Linked DNA regions of Oryctolagus cuniculus. The protein of the gene in region 1 interacts with the protein of each later gene in a biochemical or structural test. Links are inferred from orthologs where the notes say so. Each region holds a gene or a part of one and is shown in the gene's direction. Other genes may lie near its edges.

The links.
Region 2: of the proteins of UBE2I (region 1) and NACC1, one has a biochemical effect on the other in vitro, tested with the Homo sapiens proteins (2 studies listed by BioGRID). The link is inferred for Oryctolagus cuniculus from reciprocal best matches to the Homo sapiens genes UBE2I and NACC1.

The regions. Positions count from the first base shown.
Region 1 is NC_091450.1:33,712,214-33,715,927, reverse strand, and holds the start of UBE2I (SUMO-conjugating enzyme UBC9), read left to right. Parts: upstream 1-804; 5' UTR 805-1,070; intron 1,071-1,253; exon of another isoform or gene 1,254-1,410; intron 1,411-1,557; exon of another isoform or gene 1,558-1,710; intron 1,711-3,204; 5' UTR 3,205-3,213; coding exon 3,214-3,279; intron 3,280-3,363; coding exon 3,364-3,447; intron 3,448-3,714. UniProt on the Homo sapiens protein: Accepts the ubiquitin-like proteins SUMO1, SUMO2, SUMO3, SUMO4 and SUMO1P1/SUMO5 from the UBLE1A-UBLE1B E1 complex and catalyzes their covalent attachment to other proteins with the help of an E3 ligase such as RANBP2, CBX4 and ZNF451.
Region 2 is NC_091447.1:62,530,326-62,534,062, forward strand, and holds the start of NACC1 (nucleus accumbens-associated protein 1), read left to right. Parts: upstream 1-1,014; 5' UTR 1,015-1,238; intron 1,239-3,737. UniProt on the Homo sapiens protein: Functions as a transcriptional repressor. Seems to function as a transcriptional corepressor in neuronal cells through recruitment of HDAC3 and HDAC4. Contributes to tumor progression, and tumor cell proliferation and survival.

The DNA.
Region 1 (3,714 bases):
GGCCCTCACCCCCCCCCCCCAGCCTCAGTGTGTCCTTTGAACCTGGCCCATCTGAGGTGGGTTCCCTGCCCCAGGTGTCCCCGTGTGGAGGACCGCGGATCCGGGACCCCTGAGCTGACCCCCTCCCACCTGCAGACCTGGGCCCCCCAGCTCCCCCTCCCCACAGACCTGGGCCCTACCCCCCCCACCTGCAGACCTAGGCCCTGCCCCCCACCCCTGCCCATTGGGACCCCAGGGCCGCGGTCCAGCGGCTTCTCCACGGCCACACAGCCCAGCGCAGACCGCGGGGAAGCTGGGACCGGGACCTAGGGGCGCGGGGAATGAGGGGCGTCTCTGCCCCCTCGGGGGTCTCCGCCGCTGCCGCCAGGCCTGTCAGCCACGTTCCGTGTCCCGGCAAACCAGAGCTGCGAAGGCTGCGGACGGCGGAGCCTGGAGGAGGGCGTGAATGAGTGCCTTCCAGGCCCTCTGCGGCCGACCCCATCGCCTGGCCCCGGGCGCCCACCGCGCCGACGGCTCGGACGGCGCCCTAGCCCCAGGGGCGACCCCGCCGTGCCCGCGCGGGACGGCGCGGACCCGCGAACCGCGCGCTCGCGCTCGTGGGACGAGACCGCGCGCGGGAATCCCGGCGCGCCCCTCCCCCAGGCGGGACGGCCCCGGGCTAGGGAGCGTCGGCGCTTCTCCTCCCGTCGGTCTGGCGAGCGTCCGGCCTTCCGTACGGCGTCAGCTGATTGGGCGGATCTGGACGATGCCCCGCCCAGGCCCCTGCATTGGCCAATTGCAGGGGGTTTCACAGGACGCCAGACTCAGGGGATTGTCGCCGTCCTGCGCCGTTTCGGGCATCCGTAGGCCTCAGTGGTCTTTGCCCCCCGGCCCCGGGCCCCGGCCCCAAGGAGACCTCCGGAACCTACGCGCTGAGACGCGCCCGCCGGGCATCCGGGGAGCCCTTGAGGAACGCGGCGCGCCCCTTCCCCGGCTGCTCGCCGGCGTATCCTCGAGTGCGCCCGCCCGCCCCGAAGGAGAGTTTGCAGACGCTCCCTCACTTCGAGGACGCGGCTCCTTTAAGAGCACAGGTGTCCAGGGCGCCGCCTGACTGGAAAGTCGCCCCCGGGCCGGGCTCCCCGACGGGACGCGGGACGCGGGCGCGCGGCGGCGGGGCGCGGGCGGCGAGGAGCGCGCGGGGCCGCGGGCGGCGCGCGGCGCGGCGCGGCGGCGGCGGCGCGCGGCGCAGGCGTGCGGCGGGCAGCCCCGGGCCAGGCCCCGCCCCGCCGCCCCGCCCGCGCCGGGGTCCTCGGCGCTCGGGGCTGCGCGCGGAGCGGGCTCCGGAGGGAAGTCCCGAGACAAAGGGAAGCGCCGCCGCCGCCGCTCGGCCCCCGCTCGTCCGTGACGCTCGCCGGGCCGCGGCCGCCCGAGGTGAGCGGGGCCGGGCGGGGGGCCTCGCGGGCTCGGGCCGGGCCGTCGGCGGCCCGCGCGGGGCGCGAGGCGGGCGCCGCGGCCTTCCGGGCGGCGCGCGGCCTCGGGGTCACGGCGGCCGCCCGGGCCGCGCCTTCCTCGGGCCGCGGGGCTCGCGGGGCCGCCCGGGAGGGCGCCGGGAGCGGCCGGTTGCGGACCAGCGGGCGCGCGGGGGGCTCCGCCGCCGCCGAGGGAAGTTTTCCTGCGCGGCCGAGAGCGCCCCGCTCGCCACGGGCGGCGGGCGGCTCCGTGCCGGCCAAGGTGAGGCCGTGGCCGCGGCCCCCAGCCCCCTGCCCCGCCGCGGGGGTCGCGCGTCTTCGGGGCCCGGAGCGCGCCCGGCCCTCCGTCCGCCTCCCGGGGCCTGTGTGGGCCGCCTGCCCCGCGCGGCGCCCCGGCCCTCTCCCGCAAGGCCGCTGGCCAAGCCCGCCGCTGTGCCTTTGTCTGGCGGGGCGCGGGGGTCCCGGGACGGGGGTCGGGCGCAGCCGAGGGAGGCGTGGGGTGCATGCCCCAGAGGGCCCGTCCGCGGGTGCGGGAGGGCCGAGAAGGGCCACGGAGGCGGCCGGTGCGGGCCGCGGCAGCCCACCTGTCCAGCGCGGCTGCGTGCTGAGACTGAGGCCGGGCGCCCGGCGCCGAGCAGGTGCGCACCTGTGGCTCGGCCCGGACGGGCAGCGCCGCCCGCCGCGGGGGTCTCTGTGGGCGGAGCTCTTTCGGGCCCAGCACGGGCAGGGGTGCAGTTCTGATGCGCTGGCTCGGGAGGGCGGGTTGCAGCGGGGAGGGTGTGAGAGGCGCACAGGAGCCTTGGGGACCGACGTCGGGCTCCCCGCGGCCCCCAGGCCCCTGCCGGCCCCTGCCCCGTGCTGTGCTGCCTGCTTCCGGGGACCCCAGGGCGCCCGGGGCTGGCTCGCGCGCTGCCCGTGCAGGTGGAGGCTGTGGTGAGCCACAGGCAGGTGTGCTGGGACCGGGCCGCCACGCCTGTTCCCGGAAGGGGCCCGGGCTGGGGCGCCAGGTGCGGGAAGGCGTGGCAGCCTGGCGGCGGCTTCGCCTCTTTAAAGGTTTATTTATTGTCAAGGCAGAGTTAGAGGTCGCGCAGCCGCTGGTTGGCTCGCCCAGACGGCCCCGTCGGCTGGGGCTGGGCCGTGTGGAAGCCGGGAGCCTCTTCTGGTCTCCCACGCGGGTGCAGGGGCCCAAGGCCCTGGGCGTCCCCCCGCAGGGAGCCGGCTGGGAAGTGGAGCAGCCGTGGGCTCAGCCTGCAGCCGTGCGCGGTGTGCGACGGCCGGAGGCGCCGGCACTCAGGAGCCCGAGGACCGTGGTCCTCGTCCGATCGTCTGTGGAGGTCTGGCTCTCCTGGGCTCTCGCCTGCTGGGTTCTGGGATGCCGCCCGCCCCGGGCAGAGCCTCCCCCTCTAACCAGTGCCAGGTGAGCCGTGGAGTGGCTCTGTAGCCAGGGACTTGGAGGGCGACACCCGTGGGTTCCGAGGACGGGGCAGACAGCAGCTGGTGGAGTCCAGGCGCGGCGGCCTGGGCCCTGGGCTGTGGTCCTGGACCTTGAGGGCCGCTGTGGCCGGCCCTGGTCAGGGCGCTGGCCCTCGGGTCCGGGGCGCAGGCGCCCTGCGTGGGGGAGGCCAGGCTGGGGCAGCGGCGCTGGGCTGCCCCCCTCAGCAGCGCCGTGCGCCCGCGGCCTGAGGTGTGGGGCCCTCCCAGCCTGGCGTGACTCGGGCTCGTGGGAGTGGGGCCCTCACGGCGCCCGTGTCCCCAGGACTGGAACATGTCGGGCATCGCCCTCAGCAGACTTGCCCAGGAGAGGAAGGCCTGGAGGAAGGACCACCCGTTTGTAAGCAGAGCCCGCGGGCGGGGGCGGGGGCGGGCGGGGCGGGGCGGCCTGAGCGCCCGGGGACTCCCCTGCTTGTCCACGCAGGGCTTCGTGGCTGTCCCAACCAAGAACCCCGACGGCACGATGAACCTCATGAACTGGGAGTGCGCCATCCCCGGCAAGAAGGGGGTAAGCGGCCGGGGCGGGGGGCGGCGGCAGGACCCCGCGCTGGTGGCTGGTGGCTGCTCCGAGAGGGAGCTTTATGTCTCGCGGTCCCTGACCTGGCAGTGGCCTCAGCTCCAAAGCCCCACCCCTGGCTGGAGAGACTGGCAGGGCCATGCGGGGGGCGGGGGCCGTCTGCCTGCCAGGGTCTGCGTTGGCAGGAGGCTGGGACTCGAACCCAGTTCCCCACGCGGGATGGGGGTTGACCACGTGGCCCAGCTCTCCTCGCCCCTC
Region 2 (3,737 bases), on another chromosome or scaffold:
GCCAACCAGCGTTGCCACCTACGGTGGGCGGCAGGGATCAAAATGTTCCGCAGAAAAGGAAGCGCGCTGAAATGTGCTGCGTGGGTGTTCTTAATGACACTGGCTTCCTGGGAGCGAGGAGGTTGTGGCTTAGAAAATGGGCGATAATAGAGCAGCCCGACACCTGTTGCTTGTCTCCAGGGTATTGGGTGCTGTGTACGCTCTGTTGGTAAAAGCTTAGGCTGTGGAATAGGATATAGTGGGTTCGAATCCCAGGGTCCCCGCACGCTCCGGCAAACTTTATACTAAACTCTCTGGCCTCACTTTCCTTAGCTGTTAAATAAGCACCTCCGTTTCCAACGTAGAGCAAAGAGAAAACTACAGAATGTCTGCAAATAAGCCCTGAGAAAGTTTTCACCCGTGTAGGGCGGTAGGGGAGCCATCCCGGTCCCAGCTGCCTGGATTCCTGCTCACTTTGCCACGTGTTCTGCACTCGGCCTAAGTTTTCCACATTTGCAAAACGGGCAGAACATTTAGCGATCGTGATTGGGTCCCGGTGAGAATTAAGCGAGTTAGTGAAGGGCAAATGCTAACGGAACCTGGCACCGTGTGAGCATCGTACAAATTTTAGCTTATTATGGTCGATTTTTTTTTTGGAACCTGGGTTTCAATCCTGGCAGCCGCCACCACTTTCTCGCTCTGTGATCTTGAGCACGGTCCCTCATCTCTCTGCAAGAGCTCATTTCCATGAAGAGAGCCTCAAACAGTGCCTGGCGGAACACACAGCGGTCTTTATTGTTTTCGTTTCGCAAGATACGAAAGGTCAGAAAGGCAGAGTGATTTGTCCGAGGTCGCGCGGCGCCAGGCCGGATTCGAACCAATTTGCAGATCTGAGGACCCTCGGAGGCGCGCAGGGAGGAGGAGGAGGAGACGGAGCTGGGAAGGAGCGGCGTTCTCGGAGCTCGGCTGGCCACGCCTAGGGGGCGTGGCCGGCGGCGAGTGGGCGGGGCGGCGGCCGCTCCTCCCCCGGCCGGGCTGCGACGGCGGCGCGGCTTGCGCTCGCTCGGCGCTCGGCTGGGGCGGCCTGGCCCACAATGAATGGCCGCCGCGGCTGCCGCTGCTGCTGAGGCGGAGGCCGTGGAGGCCGCGGAGGCGGAGGCCGAGGCCCCGGCGCAGGGGGGCGCGCCCCGGGCCCAGGCCGGGCCTCAGCCGCCGCTGCGGAGCCCGCCGGGAGCCCCCGGAGCGCGGCCACGGCGCAGGTGAGGCGGCCCGTCCGGGGCCCAGTTCCGGCCTCCTCCCGCCGGGGGCGGCCCGAGGGCATCGGAGGACCGGCAGGGGGCTGAAGCGGGGAGGGCCGGGGTGCCTCCTGCCACGGAGGAGGAGCCGTGCCCCCGCAGCCTGTACGGGGCCGGCGAGTGCAGGGAGGCCGGGCCAGCCCGGGTGGCCTTGAGCGTCCAGCCCCGGGGGCCGGGCCGGCCGGGCTCGGGTGGGGGGTGGGGGGAGGCGGCGGGATCGGGCCCGGACTCCCCCTCCCGCCTCATTCCCGGCGGAGGGAGGGCCGGATGGAGCCGGGGCAGGTGCCGGGGGTCCCGGGAAGTTGGAGGGCACGAGGAGGAAAAGTGAGGAGGCGCCCCGGCGAGGCCGGAGGGGGAGGGGGAGGGGGAGCCGGGCTCGGGGCCGCGTGGGGGGGAGGGGATCGCTGCGCGGCCGGAGGGGGGCGGGGAGGGGCCGGGCCTGCAGGTACGGTCCGGGCGCCGGGGGAGGTGAGGCGGTCAAGTTACAGGCCTGGGGGCGGCGGCGAAGCCCAGGAAGTGGGGCATGGTGGTGGGTGTGGGCGGAGTTAGTTCGAGTGCGGGCGGCTGGGAGATCCCGGAGATGTTTGCAGGGGGGTGGGGGAGGCGGGTCAGCTGAGGTCAGCGCTCGGAGACCTAGTGGGGTGTGGGAAGCCAGATTTAGGGGCGATCGGGTACGGCGAGGGGGCTCCTGTAGGCGGTTTTTTTGGGGGGAGGCAGAGCCTTTGGGCTAGGCTGGTGGGGATGTGGGGGCGGGTCAGGAAAAACTAGTGTGACCAGAAGGGAGGTGCCCCAGTGTGTGTCCCCCGCCCCAGTGTTAGCTCAGGGTCAAACCTAGGAGCCTCCCGCCCACCGCGGCACCCCCTCTTAATCGGTGGGGCCTCTGCCGACTGTTGGAGCTGCTGGCTGTCCAGTGGGTGGGCGTTTGGACAAGTAGCCGGGGACACGGGTCTGTAACTTACCCAGCTTCTGGTGGCCCTGGCTCCCCTCCCGCCCCATCCAGGGCACAGCCTAGCACTCATCACCCTGGGTGTCTTAGAATCCTGGCCTTTTTTTTTTTTTTTTCCCTTGTGGCCACAGGAGCCTGGAAGCCAAGGTCTAGGAGATGGCAGCTCACAGGCTCCAGTTCCCTGGCCCCCCGGGGTTCTGGGCACCCCCGTCCCCCTCGGTGAGCGTGGGAGGCTTGTGATGGAGTGAAGACAGGTGGCAGAAGAGAGGTCAAGTGAGCCTCCCGGGGGCCACTGGGGTGAGCTCACGGGGCGGGACGATGAGGAAGCCGTGGCGAGGGGCATCGTGGCTTTTCTGCAGGGGCCCCAAGGCCTGAGCTGGCCTTCCGGTGGGCCTGGCTGCTCTGGATTCCCTGGAGAGAGAGAATTCTCCCCTGGCCATCCCTCCCCCGACCTGGCCCCGGGGGCGGGGAGGGGGGGAGGCTGTGTCCTCTTGTGGGCAGACTGGAGTCTCTCCGGTGTCCCACGGGGACTGAAACAGTGGAAGCTTTGTCAGAGGCCTGGTGGCACCGCCTCCTCCCCTTGCCCCTGTGGGAGCCGGGAGGGCAGGGGTCTGAGAAGCGGGATTGGACCGGCTCCGGTTCTGGAGCTGGGCTTTGCTGTGCTCGCCTTGGCCGATCTGTGTGTCCGCGCCCCCCACCTCCCGCCGCCACCCCCACACCCCAGCTTCGGTCTCCGGTCCCACCACCCCGCTCTGACTCTTTCTGGGCTCATTGCAGGGCTGGTAGGGTGGCCCGGGGGCTTTGGTTTGGGAATTTCGGTACCTGCGGCAGCGCTGCCAGGTCAGTGGCGTCCGCCCAGTCGCTCCGGCTTTAACCAGGGCTTTGCTCTAATTCCCCTCTGCCCCGGCCTGGAGCCTGCCCTCCCCTCGGGTTGGCCCCCTGGTTCTGAGGGGTAGGCAGTGAGCCGGTGGCCCCGTATAGCCGCCTTTTCCTTGCCCGGGCTGGCCTGGCCGCGGGTGGGTGCGCCTGGTTGTGGCAGAGAAGGTGGGAGTTGTTCCTACCATGCGTGTGGCAGAAAAGGACCCCGGGGAGAAGGCCCTGGCAGCAGCTGCTTTGCCGGGAGACCCTAGGGTGCTCAGAGCAGGGCCAGTGCAACAAGCAGACCCCACCCCGCCCCCGCCCCCTGCCCGGGACGGTTGGATTTCTGCTGGGGGCTAGGGCAGCAGCCCTGACTAACAGATCCCAGGGCAGCCACCCGCGAGCCAACGTCTGTTCTGGTGCAGCCTGAGACACGCAGAGGAGGAGATGGCATGGGGCACCCATGTTTATAAAGCTGATGGGGCCGGGGGGGGGGGGGGCTTGGCTGGGCGACAGGAAGGCTTCCGGGGCAGCTCAGGTCGGCAGGGGTGGCGCCAGGTTTCAGAGGGGCAAACGTCGCAGGCCAAGGCAGCCTGCCAGCCGCCCGTGAACTGCTCGGAACATTTTTTTCTTTGTGGTCTTCCCCAGGGATGACCCTG